Astyanax mexicanus: one gene and its partner. The protein of the gene in region 2 interacts with the protein of the main gene of each other region in a pairwise test. Links are inferred from orthologs where the notes say so. Each region holds a gene or a part of one and is shown on either strand. Other genes may lie near its edges.

Region 1 (7,697 bases), on a different chromosome or scaffold from region 2:
TAATCATTTTTTATGAGTGAATCAGGACTGACCCCTGCAGAAGTCACGGTTCCACAGGAAGAGGGCGCTGTTCACCAGAGACAGACTCCAGCCCACAGGAGCTGAGTACAGCAAACACACCATCATCAGCAGAAACCCGTAAAACCTGTATATATACACACACACAGACACAGACACACACACACACACACACACACCCACACAATAATAAATACACTATATGGACATAAGTAATGGGGCATCTGCTTGCTGTAAATAGTTTTTAATGAAATCATGGGTATTAAAAAGAGTTTATCCTGCTTTTGTTGAAGTAACTGCCTCTACTGTCCAGAGTAGAATAAGTGTGTGTGTGTGTGTGTGTGTGTGTGTGTGTGTGTGTGTTACTTACACAGAAGAAGTTGCATGACTCTCCCAGTATAAGACCTTATAGACAGATTCTGCATACCCACACGCCTGAGTCAACAGATCGTCCAGCTGCTTTAGCCTGCAACACACACACACACACACACAAATCAAACAATTAAACACACACACAAAACAAATCAAACAATTAAACACACACAGTTGTTCTCAGTGTATCCGTGTTCTGGTAAAGGTTCTACTCACAGGCTCTTGACCTCCAGCATGGCCTCCTGTCGGCTGATGTTGACGGTCTGCAGTTCTCGGCGCTGAACGGCGTAATGCTTCTTCTTCTGCAGCGCCGTCTCACTCGCATCGCCATGACAGCGCTCACCAACGTACCCCAACACAGCCGGCACAGACACCACCAACAGTAGCACAGAGAACCACGCCACTGAACACACAGAGACAGAGAGAGAGAGAGAGATTATACTATAATAATACGTTATAAATACAACTGCTACACATTACTCAAGACATTTTTTTGTGTTTCTGTGTCTATTTCTCTGCCCGTGTGTGTGTGTGTCTGTGTGTGTGTGTGTGTGTGTGTTTTACCTTGACTCAAGGTGATGAAGAGGATGTTCAGCAGGATGCAGCAGAGCAGAGAACACAGTGGTAATCTCCATCTACAGACACACAGACAAAAGCTCAGTATCACAAACTGTATCTATATCTATATATTATTATAGTTAATAAGAATAAGAATATGTGGCTCTTATGTTTAGTGTTTAAAAAATTTATTTATAAATTATTATTAAAATGTATTTTATTTCCTCAATTCTCTTAACATTTTCCTCTTTATCTTAATATGAATAATAGTTTTTTTTTATATAAAATTGCTTAAAGGTTATGCACAAATCCAAACTTTTTACATTTGGATTTATACTATATATCCCAAACATTCTGTTTAATAACTTAATATTTTATTATAAAAAAATACAATTTCAGTTTTACTGTTAAAAATTACTTTTTTTTAGTGTTATAATTCCAATTCCTATTATACTTCCCATTTCTATGTACACTAAAAGCTCAGATTCTAATTGCACAGTTAAATATTAATTTTCTGACAGTATAGCGGAGAATTTGTTTTCTGCACTGACCCGAGCAGGTACCGCAGCACCTCCAGCGCGTCAGTCACCGGCTCCAGAAAAATGGCCATGCGTTTGTAGGAAACCACCATGTTGAGAAGGTCAAAGTTCAGAGCTTTAGAGCTCCCTGACTCAGAGCTGGAGTCCAGAGACGAGGCGTCTTTAACCGGAGACTGAGACGCGTCCCCCCGATCCCCCCCGCCCGAGACAACGTCCAGCATTCTCAGCTACAGATCACTCTCAGCTTCCCCTGCAGAACTGCAACAAACAAACAATTACTAATTTATTCCAATATGATCATTTAAAATATGTATTTTTGTACATGCATCTTTTTAAGAGCTATTCCTTTCTTAATGCACTACATACATTTAGTTTAATAAGGAGAAACACCACAGAACTTGCTTTAATTTGTCAATATGTTTTAATAATGTACATATAAATTACCTGAAATAAAATCTTTTCACATAGACTTCTAATTAAAGTTTGAGAAGGTATTCTCCTCCTGGAGATACAAGGTTTTTTATATAAATATAAAATAAAAATGTACGCACATTTCACACACTGTATCTTTTTAGTAATTTAATTTAAAATATCATATATAAAACATCAGATATTTGTACCATGATTTTTTTGCACACTAAACCTTCTTAAAACAATCTAGATATTTAATGCAGATCATCACTTAAATTATAAATATATTACTAACTACAAAGAATATATATTTTTTATATCATAAATAAAGATAGCAGATAAATAAACAATAGCAGAATCGACATATATTTTTTACCTTACACTAAACATTATTAATAAGAGGTGATACATAATAAAACAGAAAATCTCAAACATCCATACAACACATAATCTATAACTATAAATAACCACATATTTCCCACCTTAACATAAACCGGTATAATAATAAAACCCTAATTAATGACAAAGAGAATTAGAAATATCTAAAAATAACTTTATAATGTGTATTATATTAATAATTTAAAAGATTAAACGCACACAGAGACCTTATCTCACATTTCTCACCTTAGAATAAACATTTATAGTAGTTATAAATGCTTATTTAGAATAATAAGACAGATGATAAGTCAGGACATCTTAAATATCCATTAATCACATAATCTATAACTATAAATAATGCCAAGTAAAAAAATAACATCAACATATCAGGCATTTCTGACCATACACTAAACACTTATAATAATAAAATTATAAATAACGATCCAGACAGTCAGTAATATATATAAATATCTTTATAAAGTGTAAAATATTATTAATATTAATAATTAAAGAAAGTAAACAGTAGGAGTGCCCTGTTCACTGATTTCTCACCGTAATCAGATGTTAAATCGGTTAAACTCGGGTTTTCTGAGCTCCTAACTCTCCCCGCCTCCTCCACACTGCAGCACCGCGGCTCTGCGTCTTTAAACACTAAATTAATCCGGTTAATTTAAACCGAATTCAGATTAAACCGAATCTAAACACCACAGCTGCTGCTGCCAGCCTCTTCCGTAACAGACAGGCCGGCCAGCAGATCACCGAGCGCGGGATCACAGCGCGATCAGGGCTTACAGTCGAACACCGATACAGTCGATATGAACAGTGCAACATTTGCTTATTCAGAGGAGTACAAAAAACATTACATCTCAACATTTACAAATACACAATGTATCTTCACAATTTTTGCATAAATGTTTTTCATAACACAATAATAAACTAATAAAATAGCTCACAAACAATAAACACACCTCTTAACCTCAACTAACTTACTAACTTATGTCAAATTTTAGTAAACTGCCCATATCTGAAGTTAAACCTATACAACGCCTTTTTTTTTTTTTAGAAACCCAAGGACATTTTACAATTTATATGTTTTTTCACACAACTGTTTATACTCAGCCCTCATCCCCACACTCTGGTGAGAAGAGGCAGCCAATTGCGGACAGCGTACTCTTAACCGGAAACAACCGTCCACCTGGAGAACTGCATCCAGCACTACAGCATTAACCCAAAACAGAGTGCCAAACCATATCTGGGCGCACAGTTATACACACCTTTAAACACACACACACACAAAGTGCTGGGAGGCAAAAATGCTAACCACTAAGCCACCATGCCGTATGCTGTCTCACGAAAACTTTTAAGCAAAGCTCAAATCTATGCAAATGTACTGCAAAAAATTAATTGGCAAAAACTAGACAAAGTGTAAATTAAGACATATTAGGCCAAAAAATGCCAAAGGGTTAAGCCACATTTTTCTTGGTAAGATTTTTATATAAAAACCATTGCAAAGTCTCAAATTAAAGTAAAGTAAGACTTGAATCAAGCACAAAATATTTTGAGTTTGTGCTTTTTTGTGCTCATTTTGAGTTCCTTTTTTTAATTATTAAAAATAACGTAACAATTTTAAGTGAGACTGAGACTGTAAAAATAAGATTCAGCCAATTAGGGAAGAGTAAGCTGCTTTTATGTGTAATTTCTCTACTGGTGGAATGGGCACTAATGTGTTAACTAGGTATCTAGGTAGTTGTTAGCTGTTGATTTGTGTTCCAATGTCAATAAAATTAAAATTAGATGCCAAAATGCACCAGAGAAGAACAGAATTATCACAAAAAACACATAAAACATTCAAATCTATCGTTGTAAGAATGTTCTACAAACAAAACATTTTCTACAAACTTGTTAGTTAACTTGTTAAAATGTTAGTTGGGATTATAACCATCATAAACTTGATGTTGTCATAAACACGCTGGACTATGACCTAACGTCTGACGTGCAAGCTGATCTGAATTAAAGCTCCCTGTTGTTCCAGAAAGGAGATAACAGGAGTTAACAGTCTGAACTCGCCGCTAGCTAACCTTGAGCCTCCAGGGAATAATGAGATCACCCTGTTTAATTCCCCCCGGCCTTACACACCGGACTACAGCGTACCCTGCACATCCTAACACCTAAAGACATCAGCATTTCTCATCATATCAGGGGTATCAGGCTTGTCCTATCTTAGCTTTAGAAACAGCTTTTAACTTTCTGGGAAGGCTTTAGAGCTGCTGTATGTGCTGTAATAACACTGCTGTGAGGATTTAATGTGTTCAGGTCAGCGCTGGAGCATTAGTGAGGTCAGGTACTGATGAAGGATGATTAGTTCTGGATCATCAACTCTGCTTCTACCCATTCCAAAGGTACTAGATGCTGGATGGAGCTCCACCGCTTCTACTACTACCCTATTATTCTACAGCACAAAGCTAAGGGGTGGGGTTGGACCAGTGTTAATTTTGACAGGTGATTTTGATTTAGTTTTCTTCTTAGTCTTTTGAAAATTTATAATAGTTTTAGTCAACTTTAAGTCTTTTGGTTATTATTAGTTTTAGTCTAGTTTTAGTCCACGAAAATAAACAACATATTAGTCTAGTTTGGAAAAGATGGAGGGACAAATACAGCCAAGCTTCTGAAGTGAAGATTTATAACATTTCCGGCTTTCAGTAGACTAGAATTCAGCACCCCCGCCAGGAAAAGCACCACACACACTGTCTTCTTCCATCAATCAGTCAATCAACCTTTATCTTGACTCTGGGGTACATTGAGGGCAACCCTCATTTTCAATGTAGCCGAGCATTTACAAAAACAGGGATTAAAAATTTTTAAACTCATATATTATATTGATGTATTACACACCATTTAGTTTTGATATGATTTCAATGTGTTTCTATAGCTATTTGTGCATTGCAGAAGATGCACTGTTGAATTTGCTGCATGGCTTCTTTGTTTAATGGGCAAAAGTATTGGGACACCAGCTTAATTAAGGGTTTTAAAAAGAGTTTATCTTGCTTTTATTGGAGTAACAGGTAAACCAGACATACTAGCAAGACATACTAGGTCATGCTCTTCTGTGTTTATCATTCAAAAAAATAATATAGTTGAAGGCTATATATAGTTGAAATACTATAGGTTAATTACACTATATGATTTATATGCAGTCTTATTGAGACATATGTAAATGCAATATGCAAATGGGCCCAAAAACAAGCCCAATCATTGGTGTTAATCAAATATTTAGTAATGATATGATTTTAATGTATTTCTATGAGTGATTGTGCATTGCAGAAGGTGCACTGTTGAATTTGCTGCATTGCTTCTTTGTTAAATGGGCAAAAGTATTGGGACACCAGCTTAATGAAGGGTTTTAAAAGGGTTTTTCTTTCTTTTACTGTCCAAAAAGGCTTTCTACTACATTGTGCAGCATTGCCGTAAGGATTTGATTGAATTCATCAGTGACTGGCATGTGACTATCATGCTTGACAATACAGCAAAGTGGTGAAACAGATTTTATATACTCAGTATAGGGTATGTTTAATTTGAGCTAAACTGCTAATAAGGTGCAGTTAAATCTGATATATTAGGCATATAACACTAAATACCACAGCTATAAACAATCGTTGTTTTTGATCCATGCTGTTTACACTAAGAGCGTGGTCTGTGCAGCGTTCACTGCTTGCAGCTGTCTTCTTCCATCAATCAGTCAATCAACCTTTATCTTGACTCTGGGGTACATTGAGGGCAACCCTCATTTTCAATGTAGCCGAGCATTTACAAAAACAGGGATTAAAAAATTTTAAACTCATATATTATATTGATGTATTACACACAGAGTGAACTATATTAAGCATATTTTTATTTTACTGTAGATGATTATTTTATGGAAGCCCATAAAAAGCGTCCTCAACTAAGTCATAATTATGAGATAGAAAAGTCATAATTATGAGATAAAAAAGTCATAATTATGAGATAGAAAGTCATAATTATGAGATGACTTTTTATCTCATAAATATGACTTACTATCTCATAATTATGACTTTTTTTATCTCATAATTATGACTTACTATCTCATAAGTATGACTTACTATCTCATAATTATGACTTAGTATCTCATAATTATGACTTACTATCCCATAATTATGACTTTTCTATCTCATAATTATGACTTAGTTGAGGACGTTTTTTTTTTCTTCAGGTGGCGGAAATGGGCTTCCATACTATTTTCTTACAGCCAATGAAAACCCCAAAATCAGTGTCTCAGAAGATTAGAATATTATATAAGGCCAGTTGGTACTTTTGGCAGTGTGCCAAGTCCTGCTGGAAAATGAAGTCCATACCATACCATAGCAGAGTCTGGAGGAAGAGTGGAGAGACACACAGTTCAAGCTGCTTGAGGTCTAGTGTGAAGTTTCCACCAATCAGTGATGATTTGGAGAGACATGTCATCTGCTGGTGTTGATCCACTGTGTTTTATTATCAAGTCTAAAGTCAGTGCAGTTTTGTTTTCCCATAAAATCTTACAGCACTTCATGCTTCCAGCTGCCAAATTTTATGTAGATGCGGATTTCATTTTCCAGCAGGACTTGTCACACTGCCCACACTGCCAAAAGCACCTACTGGCCTAATATATTAATCTAATTTTAGAATTTTAGATCTCTCTGTGTGTAATACTGTAATACATCTATATAATATAAGAGTTTCACCTTTTGAACTGAATTACTTAATAAAATAAAGTAACTTTTCAATGATATTCTATATCATATACATACATAAAGAGAGAAAATACCACAGCGACATCTGTCGGTGCTGATTGATAGCACATGACTTTGTACAACCTATACAAGGATGTACAATATAAAGCTGCATGACTTTATATATACATATATATTTACTGTACAATCATGTATAACGGTGTTTTTTTTACTTTAAATGAGATAAACCCACAATAATGTGCTCTTTTTAGGCTATTTTAAGAAAAATGCCTAAAATAGCTTTAATTTGTTTTGTTTTTTTACGTCATTACGTTGAAATTCAAGACGATACACGAGAATAACATCTAATTACAGACGTTTTTATTTATTTTACCCTTCTTTAAAGCAATTATTCAAAGTATTTGCTCGCATAATTGGTTTTTAAGGTCTCCACACAGAGATAAAACACGCTATTGACGTTCTCACACACTGCACTGAACAACAGCATTGACGTCAATGAAAAACGACACGTCCCTTTTTTTCAGACAGCTTCGCTCTGATTGGGCGAATTAGCGCAAAAGGCGGGGATTAGGGCGAAGCCGCGCTCTCTGATTGGTCAGCGCCGTACTGTACGTGTACCGAGCGAAACTATTTTTTTCACGCATGATCTGTTGTCACCGGTGAAGCAGAGAGGCTT
Region 2 (7,270 bases):
CTTTCTCAGTATTTTCATAAAATGTATTTTTAGGCAATATGCTTTTAATTATAATAATTATAATAAAATACATAGTGGCATTAAATACTGCTTAAAGTGCACCTTAGTGTATTTTTCCCAGTAGAATTAAGGTGTACACAATATATGCATCAATACAAAGTACCAAGCAGTACATTTACAATATACTTCAAGTGTATTACAAAAGCAAATAATTAAATCTACCAAATCTCACAAAAGTACAATTTAGCGCTTTTATGTTGTGTTTAAATATAACTTAATTACAACTGAGATACACTTAAGTTGCTATAAGTAGTTCCAAAATAGTACATTTAGTTTGTATTTAAGTACATATTTTAATTTTAAAAAGTATGTACTTTTCCATATTAAGTATACTTTTGTACTTTTATCCATTTCATACATGACCTCAAAACAAAAACAAGTTCTCTTACCCAACACATCCAGCCATTCCTCCGGAGGAAGAGAAGGACTGTTGTCTGTAACGGCTTCTGTTTTAGCTGTCTCTGCCTGGCTGTTCTGTTTCTTTCCTCCTCCTGCATCTTCTAATGGTGGAAGGTCATCATCTACTCCATCATCAACATCTTCCAACATCTCAAAATCTTCTCCGCTGTCTAACAGAGAGGTTCGCCCAGACTTTTTCGTCTTGGAAGAGTCCTGGTTGTCACCGGAGCCATTCACAGGTATGCTGTTTTTGTCTTCCATCTGTTACTGATCTACAACAGTAATGACAAATAAATAAGATGAAAGGTTCAGACCAAATTTGTGTTGCAGATTAGTATTTGATTCTTTAATGGAACAAGAAATCGCTCTATAACAGTAGGTGGTTTTTACCTGTAGGCAACCAATGGTACTTTTAAGAATAAGAGTAAAAATCATTTGAATTAACAAATTATTTGCAAAAATAAAACAATGTATATTTAGTTCATTTTATTTTCCAGCAGGAATTGGCACACTGCCAACAGTACCAATTGGTCTATAATATTCTAATTTCCTGAGACATTGATTTTTGGGTTTTCATTGGCTGTAAGCCAAAATCATCAACGATAAAAGAAATAAATGCTTAAAACAAATCACTCTGTGTGTAATACATCTATATAATGTACGAGTTTTAGTTAACTGCTGAAATTAAGTAACTTTTAAATGATATTCTAATTTTTGGAGTATATACAACCATCACACAAAAATCTTGTATTTTCATGTTATTGTGTTTTTTACTTTTTAGTGAATCTGGCAGTTGTTCTTTGTATTCCATTAGTCTGTTTAACATTTAATGATGAACTGCCCATTAAAAGGAACAAAACTTGTAACAGAAGCTCTTTCCATTGATTGTCATTAAAAGCTAAAGCCTGAAAGACAGTTTGTGTGTGACAGCAGTGGTATCCTTTAGATTAGGATTGGTGCATTCTCTGTAATCTTTGATAGCTAGCTAATGATTAACAGCAGCTTTAAATGGTCTGCTTGCCAACGTCCAAAGGAAGCAAGTGAATGACCTTAAAAAGCTCACAGCATGAGGAACCATTACTGACAACGCTATTATTTAGCTAAGAAAGGGCAGCACATTTCTGCTTATCCTGTTAATATAACCATTGAACACACAAGTATCCAGTAAGCTCACTTAGCACTACATCTCTTTAAAAAAATAAGAGACCACTGCAGTTTCTGAAACAGTTTCTCTGATTTTGCTATTTATAGGTATATGTTTGAGTAAAATTAACATTGTTGTTTTATTCTACAAACATTTCTTCCCAATTACAAATAAAAATATTGTCATTTAGAGCATGTATCTGCAGAAAATGAGAAATGGCGTTTAAGAGTTCTAAAATTAATATCTGGAATAACCCTGTTTTTTGATCACAGTTTTCATGCATCTTGGCATGTTCTCCTCCACCAGTCTTACACACTGCTATTTGATAACTTTACGCCACTCCTGGTGCAAAAATTTAAGCAGTTCAGTTTGGTTTGATGGCTTGTGAACATCCATCTTCCTCTTGCTCATATTCCAGAGGTTTTCAATTTGGTGAAATAAAAAAACCCACATAATTTGAAATTGTCTCTTATTTTATTCCAAAGGTGTATATTAGCAGTTATTTTGCCATTATTTGGCTTTAACAGACTTAATTAACTAGGTTAGCTAGCTTGGTTATCTAGCTAACTGTTGTTTATACAGCTCACATCCATTCAAGCAGCTGGTTAAATTACATTTATACTGGAAAATTCGTTAGTTATTTATCTCTAGCTAACCACCATATCCAGCTACCTAATCACCACAAGGGGGATTGTTATGGTCAATGACATTCACCCAGGCTGTAGAGGGCACAGAGGACAGTAGAATAAAGGCTTGTAGATGATGCACCATCTGTTCCAGCAGCTTCTCTAACACAGGGTCTCTCTCACTGACCGGCCCAGGTTAGATAACTCAGTCACTACAGCTCGCTGTGCAGGTGGCTAACGTGAACGTTAGCTAAGCTAGCTAGCTTAACCGCTGCATTAAACCAACAGCACCAGGGGAATCCCACCTCCACCTCCACCACCACCACCACCTAGTTGCATTAACGCCAGTTAGCCAGCAAGCTAAGAAGTTAACTCCCCGTTTACCCGCAGTCACAGTCTAACAGAACCGCGGCTCAGTAACGCCGTTCTGTGCTCGCTGTGTTTTGGCAGCCCTGAGAAAAGTCTTTCTGGAACTTTCTGTAAAGTTTATGAGCAGCAGTAGCAGTAGCTCTGATGCTACAGCAGCGAGTTACCCTGACCCGAACTTCACCCGAGACTCGCCTGTATTTACATTCAGCGCTTACAGCGCCTCTCTCCTAAACTACTGACCCACACAGAGGTTCAGAGAGCGTGAAGAACTCACCCCAGCCTACAGAAATCCCTGTAAACTAAACCATGAACCAGGAGGAACCACAGCTCCGCCACGACCAGCAACTTTGACAGCAAAACAATCAGTACAGCTTCTTCCAGAACAGGGGCTGTCCTAATCACTTCAAAATAAAAGTCCCCGTTACAAAACGAAGGAAAATACGGAGATTCTACGGATCAAGGTAAACATCAAGGTAAAAAATATTTTAAGACTTTTAAGTATTTAAGTATTTTCCTTCGTTATATATATATATATATATATATATATATATATATATATATATATATATATATATATATATATATATATATTATTATTATTATTATTATTATTATTATTATTATTATGTTAGTATGAGTCCTGAAAGGTTTAGTCGATTTAATAAATTGTTTCTTCAACTAAATTAATGAATGATTTGTTAAAATGAGAAAACGGATTAGGGGACTGTCAATATTATTTTTCTAATGATGCATTAGAGAGCAGGGGTGGGCAATTAATTTAAAATGTAAATCAGACATTATAAAAAAAAACATTAAACAATATCATATCATTATTTAATCAACACTGACATAAACAAAACAGTACTCAATTCACTTAAAACAAAGAACTATGGCTTCTTCAAGTGCAGTCTGGGCGTTCTGCATTTAGAGGCTCTGTAGGAAAAGAACAAAAAAGGTGTATAGAACTGATGTTTGTGTAAAGTAGAGGATACTTATTACAGCCAATATTGATAATACTAATATATGTGTATATACTGTATATATGTAGTAAAATTACTAATTTTATATTTCCTTGAAACGGATAGTTTTCACCTATATTCAATTAGGAACATAGCCCTTAATATTAGAAAAATAAAAGTAAATACATATTTAGACTTTTCCTCAATTTAATAAATCTTTGATTAACTTTTTAATTGTTTATCGTATTAAAATGAGAACATATTGTTAAATGTAATAGTGACACAATGTTTTATATTTAATATTTTTGCATAGCTCAATATTTTAAACAAAGTGTAAAGTGTTCAATAATTAATTTTGTAACTTGCCATACCTAAGCTTAAGCCAAGGTATATTTGGACTTTCTGAGTTGACAAATAAACACATCTGTATGTCACTCTAGATAAATGTCATTATTGTAATGTAAGTGTTTATAATCCTTTGATATTAATCTCCTCTGCTGGTGTGAGCTAAGTAGTCCAAGCAGTCCGCTCAAAATCCTGTGGAGGACTTTTACTTTCTTAACTCACCACTTCTGCTTCATATGGCACCAGGTCACTCCACAAAAAGTCTTTATGTTTTTACATTATGTTCACTTATCAATAATAGCTAAAATCCAATATTATAATACGCCTTTTAAAGAAAGACGTTTATATTTGAGTCGAGCACAAACGTTTTTTTCAGATACATGTCAAAATAAAAGTCCTCATTTAACCACCACAAGGAGACAGGAAAATATCAAATTACATTTATTATTGATGCAGCCATTTGTTTTTGATAAGCAAATTTTCTTTTTTTTCTGTCAGTCTAAAGAAACTTTACAATATAAAGTAACATACAAAGGACATCTTTATTACCTACACAAGACACCTAAGTCCCTAAGACACAGATCCAAACTAGCCTACCATGAAATACAAAGCAAACCCAATGAGACAGACTGCTTCATATTGAATACTGTCGTGTCGCCAGAAAGGACAATGAAAGGTACAGGAAAATCTCTTCTCTTCCCACCCTCGCCAAATATACCCCTCCCACACACACACTGCCTTTTCCAAATCCCTCCAAATGTTACAGTATTATACATCACAATAGAAGTACAGAGATGGCCAACAATTGTACAATTAAGGACTGAGAGAGGATTAGGGAGAATCAGTCTACTTAGTGTTGTTTTAACACTAAATGTTATGCTGTGCAAATCCGAATTCGTGTTCGACAACGTGTATATTTGTTTTTAAGAGACCTTCAAGTTAATTATGTGCCCTTTTGGTCCCTTGGTTTGATGTTAGATTGGCCTGCATTTGTGAAATGGGTAGGGTGCATCAATTTGATGATTGATATTTAATATTGCAGTTAACAGGGACCATAAACAACACAATTAGGATGTTCTTTGGAAGGCTACATTGCAATCTAATCGATTGGGGTCAATCTATGTGAATACAGGCCTGCATATATCAAAGTCACTTGCCGCAAGTGCCATTATGTGTTAATCTGTTAGCTCTCTCTCTCTCTCTGTCCTCTTGAAAACTATATACAGCTCTGTCTTCAGACTCAAAAATGTTTTTCCTTCACAAACACACTGCTGTATTTGTGAATCCCACCAGAGATACAAATGTTTACAGTGGATTTAAATTTGATTCTTTTTGAGGTATTAATTCAGAAAAATATTTTCTTGTATTCCTTATCTTATGCAATAGGGGCGATCCCCTCAATCTGATACTTTACACCAAACCATCTCTTTAAAATACAAAAACACAAAACAAATTCTTTATAACTTATTTTCAGCTGTTCTCGTTGGTTATGACTGACATATCAAAACATGTCAATGATATCAAAATGCATTTTACAGTATTTACAATAAAATCAAAAGGTGCAGGGATTAACAAAGGCTGGGGACAGGGGATGGGATGTGGGGATTAGGGTGAGGGATGAGGGGTATGGGGGCTGTGTACCAGACAGATTGGAGAGCACTTGGAGTGACTATTTGCTCTTTGTAATCTGATTACAGGGTGAGCCTGGTGCTGTCAATTGGAGAGAAACACGCTGTTGATACCACAGGGTCACAGGGCAAGAAAACAACAATTTCAGTGAAGGTCCAATCCAATTAAACATGACTAAACCAGAGAGCAACAAGAGCAAAGTGAACAGTATCTGAAGCACAGTGATATAATATGGGCACACTCAATTTGAACGAATGGCCGTTTGACTAGGTTGTTGCTAATCTCCATACAGTCGATGATGAGTGAGCAAGCTTAAAAAAGTCCTAACTGAGGCTTCCCGGGATTCGATTCTGAGGAAAAAAGGAAAAAGATGGAACCACACAAGATTCACAGACAAGTAGTGTATTGAAAATACAAATGAGATTGAATGACCAATAAGCGAAATAGGTTGTATTTACAGGCATGGGACTAAAAATAAAAAATAAAACAACCAAAAAAATGAGCAACTGCCTTACAGCCTTGAGGAGGGTTTTTACCCCCCATTATAATTAAGCCCGGCCGCTCCTCCTCCAGGCATTCGGGTAGGATTTAAAATCATCTCAAAATCAATACATGATTCCAAAATCACAAGAAACATTAATGACAAGCTTACATGTAACTGTCAGGGATATTACAACAATGAACAGAGGTGAGGGGGTTTTAAATGAACCAATCACACAGTTGGGATGCTTTGAAAAGGCAAGATTAGAGCAATTTTTTTTAAAGCTACGCTGAAGTAAAAGCCTTCTGACAGTGACTGCAATACGCTTTTCATGCTACATGATAGAAACGTAGAAACGCAATAAAGACAACACATGAACACACAGATCAGGCATGACGGAAAAAATGACAGTGAGGAAAAAATTTTACAGAACATTTGGGAGGATGCGATATAATATTCTACAAATGTTTCAGGTCCAGTGCTGACAGTGATTGTAATTCGTGTGACAAGCAGACAGCCTTCGATTTCATACAGACTCCAATACTGAGATAGTACACTTTTACAATGGTACTCTGGTAGTGATGACATCAGTTCCATGAAGAACACAGGAAGAGGTATATATATGCAAGGAGACATCCAACAAAACGAATCGACATGAAAACAAAACCAAAAAAAAAAAGAGACAAACAAATACCTAAAATCATGTAAACAGAGGTGTCATTGTGCATTCTTGAGTGTGTGCTTATTCTGTCTTCGATGTCGTTGAGATACAAATGTGCCCTTTACAGGAAAATATCCGTAAAATCATGACTACATCAATAACAATATCAATTATGAAAATCAGAACAATAATATAATCAATAATATACAAATATATCATGAGGAGACCGTTTTTGCCCCGATGCATCATCACCAGTTTAGCTTTTTCCATTTCAGAATGTACACAGCAGTCAGACGGGCCGACTGACCTCAGCCTCACCTCTGTCCTCGACTGCCGACCGCGTGAGACGATCGAAATAAAGAATAAAGGAGAATAAAGAAACAAACTATGACTGAATTTAGACCACCAGCCTTGGCGCTGAGCAGCAGCAGCTCACTGTGAGTTTTATTCTGGAACAGTCCCACCCATAGAGAAAAGCATACACACTCACACACACACACACACACACACACACACTCTCAAATACACACACTCATACACTAACACGCCCTCAGTGCCCCGGGCCGGTGAGAAAGCCAGGCAGGCTGGCAGGTGGGG

The links.
Region 1: the proteins of fkbp8 (region 2) and zfyve27 interact in binary tests that used the Homo sapiens proteins (3 or more experiments, as listed by UniProt). The link is inferred for Astyanax mexicanus from reciprocal best matches to the Homo sapiens genes FKBP8 and ZFYVE27.

Annotation. Positions count from the first base shown.
Region 1 is NC_064428.1:35,476,340-35,484,036, reverse strand, and holds the start of zfyve27 (protrudin), read right to left. Parts: upstream 3,025-7,697; 5' UTR 2,829-3,024; intron 1,746-2,828; 5' UTR 1,709-1,745; coding exon 1,500-1,708; intron 1,026-1,499; coding exon 955-1,025; intron 794-954; coding exon 607-793; intron 485-606; coding exon 389-484; intron 146-388; coding exon 33-145; intron 1-32. UniProt on the Homo sapiens protein: Key regulator of RAB11-dependent vesicular trafficking during neurite extension through polarized membrane transport. Promotes axonal elongation and contributes to the establishment of neuronal cell polarity.
Region 2 is NC_064423.1:22,602,618-22,609,887, forward strand, and holds the start of fkbp8 (peptidyl-prolyl cis-trans isomerase FKBP8), read right to left. Parts: upstream 3,006-7,270; 5' UTR 2,873-3,005; intron 732-2,872; 5' UTR 721-731; coding exon 450-720; intron 1-449. UniProt on the Homo sapiens protein: Constitutively inactive PPiase, which becomes active when bound to calmodulin and calcium. Seems to act as a chaperone for BCL2, targets it to the mitochondria and modulates its phosphorylation state.